Macaca fascicularis: one gene and its partners. The protein of the gene in region 3 interacts with the protein of the main gene of each other region in a pairwise test. Links are inferred from orthologs where the notes say so. Each region holds a gene or a part of one and is shown on either strand. Other genes may lie near its edges. The genes, in order: ZDHHC22, NRM and TRIM59.

The links.
Region 1: the proteins of TRIM59 (region 3) and ZDHHC22 interact in binary tests that used the Homo sapiens proteins (3 or more experiments, as listed by UniProt). The link is inferred for Macaca fascicularis from reciprocal best matches to the Homo sapiens genes TRIM59 and ZDHHC22.
Region 2: the proteins of TRIM59 (region 3) and NRM interact in binary tests that used the Homo sapiens proteins (3 or more experiments, as listed by UniProt). The two-hybrid records come from large-scale screens. The link is inferred for Macaca fascicularis from reciprocal best matches to the Homo sapiens genes TRIM59 and NRM.

What each region holds. Positions count from the first base shown.
Region 1 is NC_088381.1:145,084,186-145,089,735, reverse strand, and holds the start of ZDHHC22 (palmitoyltransferase ZDHHC22), read left to right. Parts: upstream 1-2,088; 5' UTR 2,089-3,338; exon of another isoform or gene 3,339-3,383; intron 3,384-4,103; 5' UTR 4,104-4,117; coding exon 4,118-4,643; intron 4,644-5,550. UniProt on the Homo sapiens protein: Palmitoyltransferase that could catalyze the addition of palmitate onto various protein substrates and be involved in a variety of cellular processes. Catalyzes the palmitoylation of KCNMA1, regulating localization of KCNMA1 to the plasma membrane.
Region 2 is NC_088378.1:141,962,905-141,968,703, forward strand, and holds NRM (nurim), read left to right. Parts: upstream 1-2,606; 5' UTR 2,607-2,622; coding exon 2,623-2,755; intron 2,756-3,347; coding exon 3,348-3,544; coding exon of another isoform or gene 3,545-3,550; exon of another isoform or gene 3,551-3,566; intron 3,567-4,126; coding exon 4,127-4,303; intron 4,304-4,622; coding exon 4,623-4,904; 3' UTR 4,905-5,520; downstream 5,521-5,799.
Region 3 is NC_088376.1:63,409,092-63,414,660, forward strand, and holds the start of TRIM59 (tripartite motif-containing protein 59), read right to left. Parts: upstream 3,451-5,569; 5' UTR 3,299-3,450; exon of another isoform or gene 3,267-3,298; intron 2,385-3,266; exon of another isoform or gene 2,384-2,384; 5' UTR 2,311-2,383; intron 1-2,310. UniProt on the Homo sapiens protein: E3 ubiquitin ligase involved in different processes such as development and immune response. Serves as a negative regulator for innate immune signaling pathways by suppressing RLR-induced activation of IRF3/7 and NF-kappa-B via interaction with adapter ECSIT.

The DNA of each region.
Region 1 (5,550 bases), on a different chromosome or scaffold from region 3:
GGTCACACAGCTGGTAAATGGCAATAAAATGCTCATTCTTAGTCTGCTTGACTCTCATGAGGCCAGAATCCAAGTGAAGTTTTCATATTGATTTTGCCTCCCTATTGATTTTGTCAGGGATAAGCATATGTTTTAGAAAAACAAAATGACATTTGCCGTGCTTCCCTTCACTCCATTCCTTAAGGGGAGCTGAGGAACCACTAGCTTTAGATCTGAAGCTTTAATGTCCTTTTCTGCTGATAAATGATATTTCTAAATAAATAATCGTCCTTGTCCGTTTGTGTTTCCACGACCAGATCTCCTTTTCCTGACTGAATACTCCCTTCCCCCACTAACATCTTCCCACGTTCGCTTAGCTTCTTTCTCTCTTTCCTTTTCCTCATACACACAAATTCAGACACACACCTTCCCACCTCACACCCATATGCAAAATAAAATTAGAAATACCACCCGACTCACAAGGTATTTGGGGAATGGAGATCTTCAGTCAGTATAGCCAAATCCAGGCACCCCAGGCTCCCTCCCTGCCAAGCCCATGTGAGAGGCAGACAGTGCTTGTGAAAAGGGGCCCAGACAGCCACAATTATGAGACAAAGCTGCTCTGAAGGAAAAAGGGCCATGTGTGCCTCCCCGTGTCTGTCCTGTGGCCACTGGAACTCACAGGGCTACCAGCTGCTCACGGCCACCATGTGGCATACTGTTCTTTCACTTACATGTCAGATGCTTTTAGAACGCGAAAAGGTTTCCTGGCCTCTTTTTTATTTTGATGTATGCTGATAAATTACAGAGGAGCAGTGTCTGGTTATTCGAGAATAGAGGCTGAGCTGATTAGCATATGGCCCTCATTTCAAGGGATTGCTCTTGTTTTAATCAGCCAGTTGAGAAAGTAATAAATATTTATTTATTAAGTATGCCATCACCCAGAGGAGAGGAACAGGGCAGGTAGGTGAGCTACGACACCCAGGAAATTGAGGATGGTGATGGCACCAATATTCCTGCAGTGTTTGATGTTTTTAAGGCTCTGCTCCCCCCGCCCCCCACTATTTGATACACACTGGTGTGACTACCCTCTTGGTGCATCACGGTACCCACCTTAGAATAGCGGAGCCCTGGAAGGGGAAGGAAATAGAAATAGGAAGGTGGGGGTAGGGCCCGAAGAAGCAGCTCCAAGTTCAAGCTCTGTGTCTGGATAAACTCCCATTGTCTTTCCTTCTCCCAAATCAGAGCTGCCCATGGGTCCCATGGTGATGCTGGGTTGTGTGGAGGCCGAGGGCAGGAGCATTAACGCTAGAACAAAGTTCAAGTCCAGGCTCTGTCACTTAATGGCTGTATGACCTTAGACATGCGACTTAGCTTCTCTGAGCCTCAACCTCCTCATCCCCAGAATGGGGCTCAGCCAGCTTCGTAGATCAGGCTGAGAGGATTAAGGAAGCGTCTTATGCTAAAGGCTTAGTGCAGTGCCTGCTACCTAGCAGGGGTGCGATAAGTAGTGTCTCTAATTATGATCTAATCAAGCAGTGCTTGCCCTGGGCAGGCCCTGTTTAAGAGTTATACATAGATTTTCATTTAACCCTCACATCTCTGTTTTACAGATGAGGAAACTGGAATCTAAGATTACACTGGAATTTACAGACGAAGAAACTGGAATCTGAGATCTCACAGTAGTGAATGGTGAATATTCAAACCCAGGTAGACAGGCTCCAGAGTCCCAACTCCCAATCCTCTGTACACAGCCCTTTCGAGGAGATGACGCTGGTCTTCACGGGTGTTGCCCTGGCAAGCCGACCTCTCAAACCCCCAGGGTTCCTTCAGTCCGAGTGGAGAGCAGGGAAGGTCGTGGGACATAGCTGAGAGGGAAAGGCAGGATGATGGCTTGAGAATCCACATCAGGGCTGAATCCCAATCTCCCAGCTGGAACGGGCAGCTGAAACCAGGCAGAGCGCCCCAGCCCGCTCAAGGGGAATCGAGGGGGGAGGAGGGGGCAAGTCCACAATGCTGAGACTGGCGGCCAGAGCACCGCCCCCAGGAGCGGAGGGAGGGGTGGCGGGGCTGGGGGGTGCCCAGTTGCCGTCCCCGCCGCTTCCTTGCCCCTACTCGCTGGCGCCCAAGTGGGAAAACAGCAGCTGCCCGCTCCCTCCTCCCCACATCCCCGCTACCTGCCCAGTTCCCGAAGCGAAGCGCAGGCTGCGAGCCAGCCGGGCCGAGCCCACAACTTTGCAGCCTCGGGCAGGGCGAGAGCCGGCGTCCGGGGCTCCTCTTCTCGGCGACCAGAGCTCGGTGAGTTCATTTCCTCACCCCTCTGCGGCGGCGGCAGTGCGGCGGCGGAGGCGCGGGGGGCGGCTTCCCTTGCGTCCGGGAGGCAGTGGCCGAGAAGCCCGCGGCCGCCGGCGCTGCCGGTCTTTCTAAGGCTCTGGCTGTGCCGCCCTCTGCCGCGGACGAGGCGGGCGCCAGTGCTCAACGGACAGCTCCCTGAGCCCCGGGGCCCCACGGGCGGTCTCTGCTGCCCCTTCTCCCGCACAGGGCCCGGGCTGAGACTGCCCACCGAGCGCCCCTCACTCCCCTAGCCCCTGTCCTTCGCCGCCTTCCCAGCGCTGCGGCGCATCTGGCTGCTCCCGCGCCCCCCTGGCGACCGGCGCGGGGAAGGCACTTGCTTCGCCGGAGCCCCAGGCCAAGGGCTCTCCGGGGCGGGCAGCGCCGCCGCAGCCCCCGGCGGCGCATGACTGGGGGCGGTGCCCAGCCCCCCGCGACCACCCTCTGGCTTGCACTGCGCTGCGCCCCAGCGGCAGGGAGAGGCCCACGCTCTCCGCGGAGGCTGCGGGTTCCCGGGGGGCGCTGGGACCTGCAAAGGGGATTCCAAGGTGACCAGTCGCCCCGTCCTGACGGGACAGCCTGGACGGAGGCCCCGTGGCATCCGCCCATCCTAGGTGCAACCGCCTTCCCAGAACTTTTCTCGCGCCTCCGGCTGGCCAATTCCTTAGCCTCTGGAAAAGTTCTCTCGGGCGCACGGAATCCTATTTCTCGGTGGCTTCCGAAGCTGGCCAGGAATCCCGGCTGTGAGGCGTGGAGTGGGATGGGGACGCTGCAAGGGCTGCGCACGGCGGCGGGGTCGATCCCAGGAAAGGCCGGCCAAGCATCCACTCGTGCGCCCAGGGCGTGCTTGTCAGCATGGAAAGGATTTCGGCGCCATGAGGGTTGTTTGGGTTTCTCTCACCAGGAGGGCGGGAGGCGGGCGCGAAAAGGGGATTTTAATTTCGCCTCAAATGAAAACGCTCTTTGCAAAGAAACAGCCCGGGCAGCCAGCGTTGGAGAGATGTGCTGGCCAGGACCCGCTGACACAGGTATTCTGGCTGCGTCCCCACCCCACCCGGCGCCCGAGAGCGAGTGTGAGTGTATCGGTTGTTTTAATTGATTTTTTTAAGCTAGGTGGCAGAGGCTGCGTGTCTGTACACGCAGATACATACATACACAAATACAGATACTCAAGCGCACACAGATTACACGTACAGAGTCACAGACAAGGACACACACACACATCGTGGTCCCGCACGCACACATACCTCCAAAGAGCCTTGGGTAACCGGTGAGGTCCCTGAGTGCTGCCCAAGATGTGTGTGTGGGTGGGGGCGCAGGGAAGGAGAAAGGGAAGTGTGAAGCAGGATTTCCAGCAGCTCAAATGCCGCTGATACCTCTGCCCCCAATCCCAAATCCTTCCCTTTCTCCTCCTAGGGAGGTCTGAACCAGAAATCCCAAACCTGGGCTTGTTTCCACAGCCACAGAGGGGAGGAGTCCTATCCCCCAGCGCCCCCCACCCTCACAACTTGTATTGCTGTGCCTGACTCTACCGCGCCAAGGCGCCGAGCTCGCTCAAAACCCCAGGCAACACTCACCCCCAGGAAGGGCCTAGACCCGAGGCCGCTGCGGGCTCGGGGTCTCTGGCCTGCCTGGTCCGGGGTTAGGGAACTGGGGAGGGGAAATCGGCGGGACAGGGGTTTGGGGGCGTGGAGTCGCGTGCAGAGCCCCAGAGGCGCGGCACGGAGGAGCGCGCGAGGGCGCCCCCTGGACGCCGCAGTCAGTCAGTCCTCTTCTCACCCCGGGTCCCGCAGGAATGTAATCGAGGATGCTGGCCCTGCGGCTGCTCAACGTGGTGGCCCCCGCCTACTTCTTGTGCATCTCCCTGGTGACCTTCGTGCTGCAGCTCTTCCTCTTCCTGCCCAGCATGCGCGAGGACCCCGCGGCCGCCCGGCTCTTCTCGCCGGCCCTGCTCCACGGGGCGCTCTTCCTATTCCTCTCGGCCAACGCCCTGGGCAATTACGTCCTGGTCATCCAGAACTCCCCAGACGACCTGGGCGCCTGCCAGGGGGCCTCGACCAGGAAGGTTCCGTGCCCCTCACCTAGCACCCACTTCTGCCGAGTGTGCGCCAGAGTCACCCTGAGGCACGACCATCACTGTTTCTTCACCGGCAACTGCATCGGCAGCAGGAACATGCGTAACTTCGTCTTGTTCTGCCTCTACACCTCCCTGGCCTGCCTCTACTCCATGGTGGCCGGCGTGGCCTACATCTCCGCGGTCCTTTCCATCTCCTTCGCCCACCCCCTGGCCTTCCTCACGCTCCTGCCCACCTCCATCAGCCAGTTCTTCTCCGGTGAGTGGGCCTTGGCAGGCAGGTTGGGCTCTACCCAAAGATCTCCCACCCCAAAGGTTGCCGGGCCCCAAACTCCAGCCCCAAAAGTTGCCAGATTTAGCAAATAAAAATACAGACCCTTCCATTAAATTAAAATTTCAGATAAACAACTCATAATTTTTTAGTATAATTATGTCCCAGATACTGTATGAGATACACTGAGAAAATTTGCTATTGGCTATCTGAAATGCAAATTAAGCGGACATGCTGTATTTTATTGGCCACATCTCCCCATACCCTCATCATCCTCATCCATCATGCTGTCCATATGCTCAGAGTTGTGGCATCCAGGTAATATACCTGCTCTGTGCCAGGCAGGGCTGGGTGCTGGCCATTCCTCCATGTAGCCCCATGAGGTACAACCATGCTATGACCGTCCTCTGCCTGGACCCCAGTCCTGCTTACATGTCACCCAAGGACTCTGCTCTCCAGAGGTCTCACCAACCAATTGCAGTAATATTGAACTTGTTGCCAGCCCAGCCCAGCAGGAGACTAAGCCTCGTCCTCCTGCCTATTATGTTTGACCTCACCAGCCTGTTCTCCAGCCTGTTCTCCAGCCTGCCGATGGCTCAGAGCAGAGGGAACTTGGGTGGGAGAGGCAGGCATTTTTTTTTTTTTAGACAGAGTCTCACTCCATCACCCAAGCTGGAGTGTAGTGGCGCAATCTCTGCTTACTGCAACCTCTACCTCCCAGGTTCAAGTGATTCTCTTGCCTCAACCTCCCGAGTAGCTGGGATTACAGGTGCGTGCCACCGGCTAATTTTTGTTATTTTTAATAGAGACGGTGTTTTACCATGTTGACCAGGCGGGTCTTGAACTCTTGACCTCAAGTGACCCACCCACCTCGGCCTCCCAAAGTGCTGGGATT
Region 2 (5,799 bases), on a different chromosome or scaffold from region 3:
TTTTTAGTAGAGACGGGGTTTCACCGTGTTAGCAAGGATGGTCTCGATCTCCTGACCTCGTGATCCGCCCATCTCGGCCTCCCAAAGTGCTGGGATTACAGGCTTGAGCCACCGCGCCCGGCCAGAATTTCAATTTTTTAAAAATAATTGGGGAGGCCGAGACAGGCGGATCACGAGGTCAGGAGATCGAGACCATCCTGGCTAACCTGGTGAAACCCCGTCTCTACTAAAAAACACAAAAAACTAGCCGGGCGAGGCGGCGGGCGCCTATAGTCCCACCTACTCGCGAGGCTGAGGCAGGAGACTGGCTTAAACCCGGGAGGCGGAGCTTGCAGTGAGCTAAGATCCGGCCACTGCACTCCAGCCTGGGCGACAGAGTGAGACTCCGTCTCAAAAAAAAAAAAGAAAAGAAAAGAAAAAAAAAAAAAATAATTGATTACTTGTGTACACTTTTCTGCATGTAAGTAATACTTAAGTTTGGAAAACTTTGGTGTAGTAGAAACAGCATGAGATTTGCCAAGCATTGTGCTGGCTATTAAACATATCTAATCTCATAATATACATTAAGCACAGCCATTGTGGGGGTGGCAGACAGTATGACCCAGATAAATATTAGTCCCCTTGCACAACTCAAAGCTTTCATACTCTTAAATTGTCCATGTCCCTGAGGCCCTGATTTCTTTCTTTCCCTTTTTTTTTTATTTTTTTGATACAGAGTTTCACTGTTGTTGCCCAGGCTGGGTTGCAATGACGTGATCTCGGCTCACTGCAGCCTCCGCCTCTCAGGTTCTAGCGATTCTCCTGCCTCAGCCTCCTGAGTAGCTGGGATTACAGGCATGCACCACCACGCCGGGCTAATTTTGTATTTTTAGTAGAGACAGGGTTTCTCCATGTTGGTCAGGCTAGTCAACCTCAGGTGATCCACCCGCCTCGGCTTCCCACAGTGCTGGGATTACAGGCATGAGCCACCATGCCTGGCTCCTTTTTTTTCATTGTTATTAAGATGGAGTCTTGCTCTGTTGCCCAGGCTGGAGTGCAGTGGCGTGATCTCGGCTTACTGCAACCTCTGCCTCCCAGGTTCAAGCAATTCTCCTGCTTCAGCCTCCCATGTAGCTGGGACTACAGGCGTGTGCCACCACACCCAGTTAATTTTTGTATTTTTAGTAGAGACAGGGTTTCACCATGTTTGTCAGGCTGGTCTCGAACCCCTGACCTTGTAATCCACCCGCCTAGGCCTCCCATAGTGCTGGAATTACAGGCGTGAGCCACTGCATCCAGCCTCCTTTTTTTTTTTTTTTTTTTGTTTGAGACAGAGTTTTACTCTGTCACCCAGGCTGGAGTCCAGTGGCGAGATCTCAGCTTATCACAACTCCCACCTCCCGGGTTCAAGCGATTCCAAAGTGCTGGGATTACAGGTGTAAGCCACTGCGTCTGGCCTCTTACACTTCCAATGAACCCCACAGCTTGTAGCACATTGCTTTGTGTGGTAAGTGTCTCTATTTGTGGTCCTAGCAGGAAATGAATAGCACAGTCAAATTAGGATAATTTGGGGAAGAGTTTAATAAAATGATAATTACAAAGAAGTAGGCAGGGTGTAGGGAAATCAGAAAGCATAGTGCAGTGCCTTAGTACCCACAGCTCTATTGTGATCACCTCCAAGCTCAAAAAGATGAGGGTGGAGCAGTCGTGTAAAGAGGACTTTCTCAATAAAAACTGTGACTTTCATTGATACCGTCCATTTGGGACAACTTCCTGAAGCAGAAAGCAGGGTGGAGACTGAATTCAAGGGAAAACATAAGATGTCTGGTACAGCATACAACAGCATTCATTCAGAGGAGGGTGGGAGTACTGAGCCCAGGAGAGGGAGAAGGAATGTAAAGCCTGCGAGAGGCTGCTCAGCAGTTTTCTGGTCCCTTAGCCTACAGGATTAGCAGCTTCCTAACAGGCAATTATCTCTCTGGACCTGTTTATTCTATCTATAAGTTGATGGAATTAGTCTAATGATATCTAAGGTCCCTACTATGTGCACAGCTACTGCGACAAGGTCCTTAGCTGCATGATCTTTAATTCTGACAAAGGTTACTATCACAAACATTTTAACATTTTTACTCTCGTGGTTACAAATCAACAATCTCTGGCACTATTACAACAAACCTTTCAGTATTTACAGAGAAGTTATTTGCCCTTCTTAGCAACTAGCCAATCAACAACTCAACTTTATAGTAAGTTACAGAATTTATTCTGTACAGTGTATTCTGTACAATGTATTCCATACATTAATGTATTTTGTGGTAAAATAGTAACTTTTAATTTTGGATGGTTAAACTAGACGAGCTGAGATTTAACCCACGTAAGCGGCTGCAGAGCCGCTACCCTTAACAGCTCTCTCTCGGGATTCTAACATTCCCTTCCGTGACGGAGAGACCGCAGGCTGGGACACGCATCCCGGGACGGATCCACAGCTGGGTGGGGAAGGCTGCGCCCGGCGGGCCGGAAGCCGGGCGGTGGCGTGCAGGAGCCCCGCCTTCCTGGGCTGGATTCGGGCGGGGGCGGGGCAGGGGCGGGGCCTGAGGCAGCGGGAATCCCGACCCCGCCCCTTTCCCCACCCCTCCATTTATCGCCATGGCCCCTGCACTGCTCCTGGTCCCTGCTGCCCTCGCCTCTTTCATCCTGGCCTTTGGTACCGGAGTGGAGTTCGTGCGCTTTACCTCCCTTCGGCCACTTCTTGGAGGGATCCCGGAGTCTGGTGGTCCGGGTGAGCGGGAGGGATCGGGGATGAACTGGGAGTAGGAAGGTGGAGCCGTAGGAGAGGGATCGAGGGCGGGGCTTGGAAACAAATGACAGGGGAAGTCCCAGAGAGGGAACTCGAATCTTGAAAGCGGCCGAGAAGCTACAGGGGAGGGAGACCTGAGTTCTAAATTAGGAACTCAAGGATTACAGTTTTGGAGAGGTGGGAGAGTGAGGACTGAGGGAGCCGAAAAGGGCGATAACCAGAGTATTCTAAGTAAAATGTTTTGTAGAGAGGGCTGTTGAGAGTGTTAAAAAGAAGGAGCATTTGGAGAACCGAAATAAGAGGGGCAATCCAGCGGTGGCCTCTCCAGCCATGCTTTTTGCAACTGCCTAACATGCATTGTTCTATAAATCCTCTCCCCTAGGTTTGCAGGAGGCCTAGGGAAGAGGGCAGAAACTAGGAATGGAAAAGTGAGATGGGCACAGCCTAGAGAGGAAGCATTAAGGCTCTTGAAAGCAGTAGGGACATGGCCTGGGGCTCCAAAAGGAGATGAGGATGGGGGAAACATTTGCCACCTTTTCGATCTTTTGTCTCTTTCTCCCTCAACTTCCTGTAGATGCCCGCCAGGGATGGCTGGCTGCCCTGCAGGACCGCAGCATCCTTGCCCCCCTGGCATGGGATCTGGGACTCCTACTTCTATTTGTTGGGCAGCACAGCCTCATGGCAGCTGAAAGAGTGAAGGCATGGACATCCCGGTACTTTGGGGTCCTTCAGAGGTCACTGTATGTGGCCTGCACTGCCCTGGCCTTGCAGGTATGAGGCCCTGGCCTTGCAGGTATGAAGTCCCTAAGGGAGACCAAGTGTGGGAGGGGTGCCCTGGATTGGAGGGGCAAAATATGGGTTCAGGAGGAGAACTGAGGAACTAATCTCAGCTTCCATTCCTCCACAGCACATACCCTAGTTTTTATCAAGAAGGGTGTACTTGTCCTTCCCCAAGCACAATACGTGCATTCTCACCTTTGCAACTTTGTTCATGTCCTGCTTGAGATCCCTTCCTTCTCTTCAGTCCTACCCTTTCTTCAAAACCACTTCCCTAGGTCTGAAGAGGCCTTGTCTGTCTTCTCATTGGGTGGTTGGCATAGGCTACTACTTTGTGTAGCTATCAGGTCACCCCATCTGTTCTGTAAATTCTCAGGGTGGAGACAGGCCATCCTTACATCTTTGGGACCTCACCCAGCATGCACCCTCCACATGGTGAATATTTGGTGGTGATGCTTAGGTGAGAGGTGGGGGAGAGTTGCAGGCTAGCCTGTGGTGGGGGCAGCTCTGGATCCGGGTCTCCCAAGGTCGGGCAGGGTAGGGCACTGGGATACGAAGCCCCTTATCCTTCCACAGCTGGTGATGCGGTACTGGGAGCCCGTACCCCGAGGCCCCGTGTTGTGGGAAGCTCAGGCTGAGCCATGGGCCACCTGGGTGCCCCTCCTGTGCTTTGTGCTCCATGTCATCTCCTGGCTTCTCATCTTCAGCATCCTTCTCGTCTTTGACTATGCTGAGCTCATGGGCCTCAAACAGGTGAGGCTCTGAGATCCCTACCTACGACCTCTGACCCGTTTTAGAACTACTCTTTCCCTTTCAAGGGTTTCCCTCCTCCCATGCTCTTCTACTGTCTCCTTGATTCTCCCTCATGACCCTTCCCTCAGAAGGACAGCAACCATGGGCCTCCTGGGCCTGGGGAAGGTACATGGATCATAAGTCAGGATCAGGGATCCAAGTCTCAGAAGAGGGGTTCCTGGGCCTGAGCTCTAGAAGGCTGGTGCCTGGAAGAGGAGGAAAGAAGCGCCCAAGCTGAGAAAAGGGCTTGACTCAATTTCTAAACTCTTCTCCCTCTTAGGTATACTACCATGTGCTGGGGCTGGGCGAGCCTCTGGCCCTGAAGTCTCCCCGGGCTCTCAGACTTTTCTCTCACCTGCGCCACCCAGTGTGTGTGGAGCTGCTGACAGTGCTGTGGGTGGTGCCTACCCTGGGCATGGACCGTCTCCTCCTTGCTCTCCTCCTTACCCTCTACCTGGGCCTGGCTCATGGGCTTGATCAGCAAGACCTCCGCTACCTCCGGGCCCAACTACAAAGAAAACTCCACCTGCTCTCTCGGCCCCAGGATGGGGAGGCAGAGTGAGGAGCTCACTCTGGTTACAAGCGCTGTTCTTCCTCTCCCCCTGAATTCTAAATCCTTAACATCCAGGCCATGGCTGCTTCACGCCAGAGGCCCAAATTCATGGACTGAAGGAGCTACCCCTTCCACTACTTGAGAGTTTATTCTCTGGGTCCAGCTCCACACCCTAAATTCTGAGTTTCAGCCACTGAACTCCAAGGTCCACTTCTCACTAGCAAGGAAGAGCGGGGTATGGAACTCATCTGTCCCCTCACTGTTTAGGGCATGACACTTTCGCCCTCAACAGCCTCCTGAGAAGGAAAGGATCTGCCCTGACCATTCCCCTGGCACTGTTACTTGCCTCTGTGCCTCAGGCGTCCCCTTCTCCACCTCCGGCTTCCACTCCAAGAAGCTGGACCAGGGTCTGCAAGTTCAATGGTCATAGCTGTCCCTCTAGGCCCCACACCTTGCCTCACCACTCCTGGTCCTAGTCTCTGCACCTCCTTAGGCCCTGCCTCTGTGCTTAGACCCCAACCTAGTCAAGGGTATTCTCCTGCTCTTAACTCGATGACTTGGGGCTCCCTGCTCTCCTGAGGAAGATGCTCTGCAGGAAAATAAAAGTCAGCCTGATTTTTCTACATATGGCATGCAGTCTGTCAGTGTCTCCCAAGCTGCAGGGCTGAGTTTGGAAAAGAAAGCCAGAGGGAGCCTGGGAGCGCCGAACTGGAGTCTGGGCAGCCACCACGCCCTCTGGCAACCGCTGGGCTTCGGCCACCCCCCGCCGACCCGGCCCACTTTGCCAGAGCGGCCGGGTCCCCATTCCCATTCCTTCAAATTCCCTTTTTCCCGGCAGCCGACCCGGAGACCCAAGGGAGACAGGTTGAAGCTAGAAAGAGTCCGGCAGCAGCTCTGGTAGGGG
Region 3 (5,569 bases):
GTTAGCAAAAACAAATACAGGAGTACATTTTAAAAAACACTGCACCATGACTAAATAAGGTTCTTCCCAGAAATATAAAGTTAATTCAATAACAAAAAATCTATTAATATAATTCACTCAATTAGTTCAATGGAAAAAAAATTTACATTCACATGATATGTGAAAAAAGCATATATAATATTAAAACCAATAAGCAGTCCTCAAAGACAGAAAGTAGAATGGTAGTTGCCAGGGCTTGAGAGCAGGGAAGACGTAGAGTTATCATTTATTTAATGCAAGGGTCCCCAACCCTCCCTACCCACCCTGCACCCCCGCCATGGCGGCCGGCAAGCCCGCCTGAGCAAAGCCTCCTGCCAGATCAGTGGCAGCATTAGATTCTCATAAGAGTGTGAACCCTACCGTGAACTGCGCACGCGAGGGAACTAGGTTGTAGCTCATTGTGAGAATCTAATGCCTGATGATGTGCGGTAGAACAGTTTTATCCCAAAACCATGTACCACCCACCCGCACCTGTCCATGGAAAAATTGTCTTCCTCGAGACTGGTCCCTGGTACCAAAAATGTTGAGGACTGCTGGTTTAATGGGTACACAGTTTCAGTTTGGGAAGATGAAAAAGTTACGGAGATAGTTGGTGGTGATAATTACAAAACAATCTGAATGTATTTAATACCACCAAACTGTATACTTAAAAATATTAAAATGGTAAATTTTATGTTTAGTATATTTTACACAATTAAAAAAAATGTTCAAGTGTCTTGCCTATTATCCAGTCTTTCTTTTGCTAAATGAATTTGAATCAATTTATACTACTGTATGTTTTTAAAAAGCAAAAAAGTAAAATAATCCATGTAAAATGTATTTTCCTCTAGTGAGTACTAAGCTCATGTAGAAACCAATACCTCAAGATTTCCTGCTTCTCTTTTAAAAGTCACCAAGAAATATAAATATGAAAAAATGAATCTTCTCAGAAAGAAATCTGAGGCTAAATCACTCTACTGACAAATTATTTCACTAACGTCTTGTGTTTAAGTGTCAAAACAAATACATTTCTGAATTTCCACACTTTTTATTAAGTCTTTCTCCAGAGGACCAATTCACTAGGGAGCCTCCCTGATGTCTAACTGGCATATTAGGTAATAGATAGTATAACAGATGATAAAATAGCACCAAAAATATTATTACCCATTCTCTTGTGTAAACCAGTTTTTAAGCTTTAATTCACTAATGCTTTCCTGCCTTTCAACTCTAAACATGAACAGTTGTAAAACATTCATTACATTTCACAGCCTCTGAAACGAAAATATTTTTACTACATTATAGAATTCGATGACTTGCCCCATGACTTCTAGTGAGTCAGCTTTAAGTATAGAAAAATTCAAGTGGTGCCACCACCCAAATTGGGGCTCACATCTTTGTGGCCCTAACTGATAAAGAAGAAATACATTTCATGCAATCGAAGACTTACTTAAGAAATAACTACAACTTCATCATTTATATACACATATAAGATTTTTTTTTTTAACACTGTTGCGGAAAGTTTGAGAAGATTTTTAAAAATAATTCTGCCACATATAAATATACAAAAATAATGAGAGATCACCTTAACTTTTTCAAATTAAAAAAAAAATCCTATGGTCAGCTGATTTTAACTCTCTTTGTCCATCTGTACTATTTTATTTCATTTTGATATCAACCTGTTTTCCTAAACTAAAAAATAAAAAAACTAAAAACAAAACAAAAAAAGACTATTAATTCAATTTAACCAGGAACTGACTTGAGAAGTTAAGGCTTTAATTACTTTTGTTATACTTTTCAAAGTAAAAATATATCTGGTGGGAAATATTCATCAACGTGTTTGGTGAAAGGCAATGTCAAAACTAACATTACCTAAAATCAAAATTTCACCTTGCCAGATTAAATAGCTACTTACTCATTTAAAAAGACCAATATATGAATGCATAGTGAAGAAGTATCCAGGTAACTTAATTTGCAGTTTTGTGTAGTTCTGCAGATCTGTATGTCTAAAATAACAGCTTTGCATGTGTTTTGAGATGTACACATTCTTGTAAAATTTCTAGAAGGATGTACGAAAGAGTTGAGTGACTACCTTTAAGGTACAGATCGGAAAAGGAAGCTGTTTATTTTTCACTTTATGCTCCGCTCCTTCGGTAAGATGGTTGGAATTTGATACACCATCAACATAATGTTTTTTCAAAAGACTTCTAAATTTCACTTTATAGTTTAAATGATACACTCTGTAAAAACTCAGTTAAAATGTTTTTCATATTTACTTAATCTCCCAGAACTTACCTACTTTGTTGATCTCCTGGTTTGGGGACTGAATACACTCTCTCCAACTCCTCCAGAATCTTTTATTCTTATTCTAAAATTAAAATAATGTTATCCTTAATGCTTTCAATTTATTGTCTCATGTCATTAAAATGGTTGTTAGTTCACTGTCTTTGATGTTTATCTTCACTATGCTTCACTGTGTTTTCCTAAAAGTCACAAACACCAACACAGTTGCTGGAGCTGCAGTAGAGGTATCGCTTGTTCCTTGAAAATCCGAACTCTGACCAAACAGATGGTCACAAAGGACCTCTTTACAACGTCAAGTAGCTTATGAGCTCTCGACAATATGACCCACCAACGGCGATGGCAGAAAAAACATTCACAAGGTCATTTAGAGTGCTTAAAATTAACTGCAAGACAAAAGCATCCATGGGAGTAAAATACTTTGCCAGCTCAAAATTGTAACTGATTTAGTATAGTTTGCTCATCTCTCTGTTCTGCCATTTCAATGCTGTGGTACCTGAGTCAGTATTATCAAATACCTCTCAAAAGTGAGGCTTCACATCTGTAAAATGGGTAACTGCACCTATCCCACCTAAGTCCTACGAGCACCTCCCACAAAGGGGCTCAAAATGGCAGTACTCTTCCCCTCCCCCTCTGAAAGCTCCACTCTCCCAGGCCTCCCTCCTAAAGCGCCTCCGCCTCCGCAAGGGCCCGACCCCAAGCCCCGCGGGGCTGACCGACTCGGCCTGGCCCAGCTCACCCTGGCCACCACAGAGCGCCTCCTCCCTCACAGGAACGCAGCTCCACAGTGGAGAGACGGGAGAATGGTTCCCCAAACTCCAGTGTGGGACAAGTAGGAATGAATGCAGGTCCCAAGCCACTCCCTCCATCGTCACGCCCCCAGGACTCCCCAGCAAACACACTGGAACACCAGCCTGTGCTACAGGAAAAGAAAAAGGACTCAGAGCCACCTTCTCGGATCCGTAAAGGTCCTTAGACTCACCGCGGGGAGGAGGCGGAGTAGGCGACTCCACAGCGCCGAAACAGAGAGCCACCGGCTCCTGGCTGATGCTGAGAGTCGCCCCGAGTCCCCGCCCTCCTCCGCCCCGAAGGGCTTCAGGTGCCCAGGCCGGGCGGGGCCGCCCGGAGCCTCGCGGCGCAGGCGCAGTCTGCAGGCAGCTTTCAACTGCGCGGCATCGGCCAATGGGAACTATTGCTGGGCTCGTTCGAAAGTAAACGGCGGAAGGCGCGGCCCGAGGCAGGTGGCGGCGGTCAGATCGAGGCTGGCGCCTAGCTTTCCACGCCTGCGTGCTAGGCGCAGGCCGCCTCTCGGACGTTTGGCCTCGAAGGAGCGGCTCTCTAGCCTGTGGGGAGCTTCGGCCAGTGGGCTTCGTGAGCTGGGGTCCCGCCTGGGGCATCTGGATGGCACCGGTAGTCTGGGGGAGAGGCGGGGTCTGGCGCGGGAGGAGGCGAATCGCCGGCGGCCGACGGCTTCTGGGGAACTGTCTTTTACTTGGAGCCATTCAGGGCAGGGCGTGCTGCTATGCTGTGGAATGCAGTGTCTTCCATCGTTGCCTCACAGACCCGCTGCTCCGGGAAGTCGCCACGCATCCTCAGGGCACACCCACACCTGTCGCCAGCGCCCTCCGCCGCTCAGCTGTTTGCTTTTGTTTACGCGTTCCGGAGACCTGACCCACCGGAGCACTGGGCTGAGCACAGGAGAAGGGGTTTTGGAACACTCTTTGTACCCAACTCCGAGAGCGAGTGGGAAACCCGGGACTGGGTTGGGTGCATCTCTCCCTAGCCTTCGTCGTCTTCTCCCGTTTTTCCACTTTACTAAAGTATTGCCTAGAGATGAGGGCTGTCCAACTCAGCACTTCCAACTTCAAGTTCCTACTTCACCTCTAACTCCCTAGAGTTAGAAAACAACTTACAGCTCAGAGGTCCCTTTCCCTTTTTTCTTGAGAAACTTTATTCAGCTTTATCTCAAGACATCTCCGCTTCCCTCTCCTGTCGACCTTAAATAGGTTCAGGAAATATGATTAAGGATAAGAGTTTATTCCAGCGTAAGGCTTGAGGGTAGCCACCCAGGAGACACCAGCTCCAAATGGGGTCAGCATTCCAAAGTGAAGAAGTTAAGGTTTCACCTAGGTGGCCAGAGACAAATTTTAGCAGGATTTCATTTTCCGTAAGAGACCAGTACATACTTACAGCTATTTGGTAGGTTACAGATTGCTACATTCCAAGAAAGAGTACTTCGTTACTCCGTGAGGACGGGTAGTGATCTCAGGGGGTTGTATCTCTGGTATGGTTTGCTCCTCCGATTTTAATTATTTACAGAAACAAAAGGCAGACGGTGCAGATGCCTGCTGCTTGGCTCAGGCTGTAGCCACATTCCTCTCAAGGCTCAGAATAAAGTTCCAACAGCTTTAAGTTTGAATTACTTAACTTCTGATAACTAAAGTCATTTTGTTTACTAATGTGCTAAATAAAGATACGGGCTCTAGACCGGGTGCAGTGGCTCACGCCCGTAATCCCAGCACTTTCGGGAGGCCAAGACAGGTGGATCACCTGAGGTCAGGAGTTCAAGACCAGACTGGCCAACATAGTGAAACCCCGTCTCTACTAAAAATACAAAAAATTAGCCAGGCGTGGTGGCAGGCACCTGTAATCCCAGCTAGTCTGGAGGCTGGGGCAGGAGAATCGCTTGAACCTGGGAGGCAGAGGTTGCAGTGAGCCAAGATGGCACCTCTGCATTCCAGGAAAAAAAAAAATCTATGGGCTCTATATACTGTATATTTATATTGCAGTACATTCAGGTGCTAGGCTTTTATTCAGTAAATTACAGAAAATATTAAAGATACAAAGCAGAAAGTAAGGCAATATTAATGAGGCCTTAGTCAATCTCAGATAGCTTCACCAATTCAGCTCCTAAAAAGGTTGCTTATGAAGTGTGAATTGTAGTGATAGCTACTGTTTCATGGTGGTAAATATTCGTTTTGACTTGATGTACATTTTCTGTTTAAACATTGGAGTCATCCTGATAGACATCTTTATAATTTCCTGTCACAACAACATGTGGGACAGGCGTGGTGGCCCATGTGTGTAATTCCAACGCTTTGGGAGGCCAAAGTGGAAGAATTGCTTGAGCCCGGGAATTTGAGAGCAGTCTGGGCCACAGAGTGAGAACCCATCTCTACCGAAAATAAAATAATTAGCCGGAGTGGTGGCTCACACCTGTAGTCCCAGCTACTTGGGAGACTGAGGCAGGAGG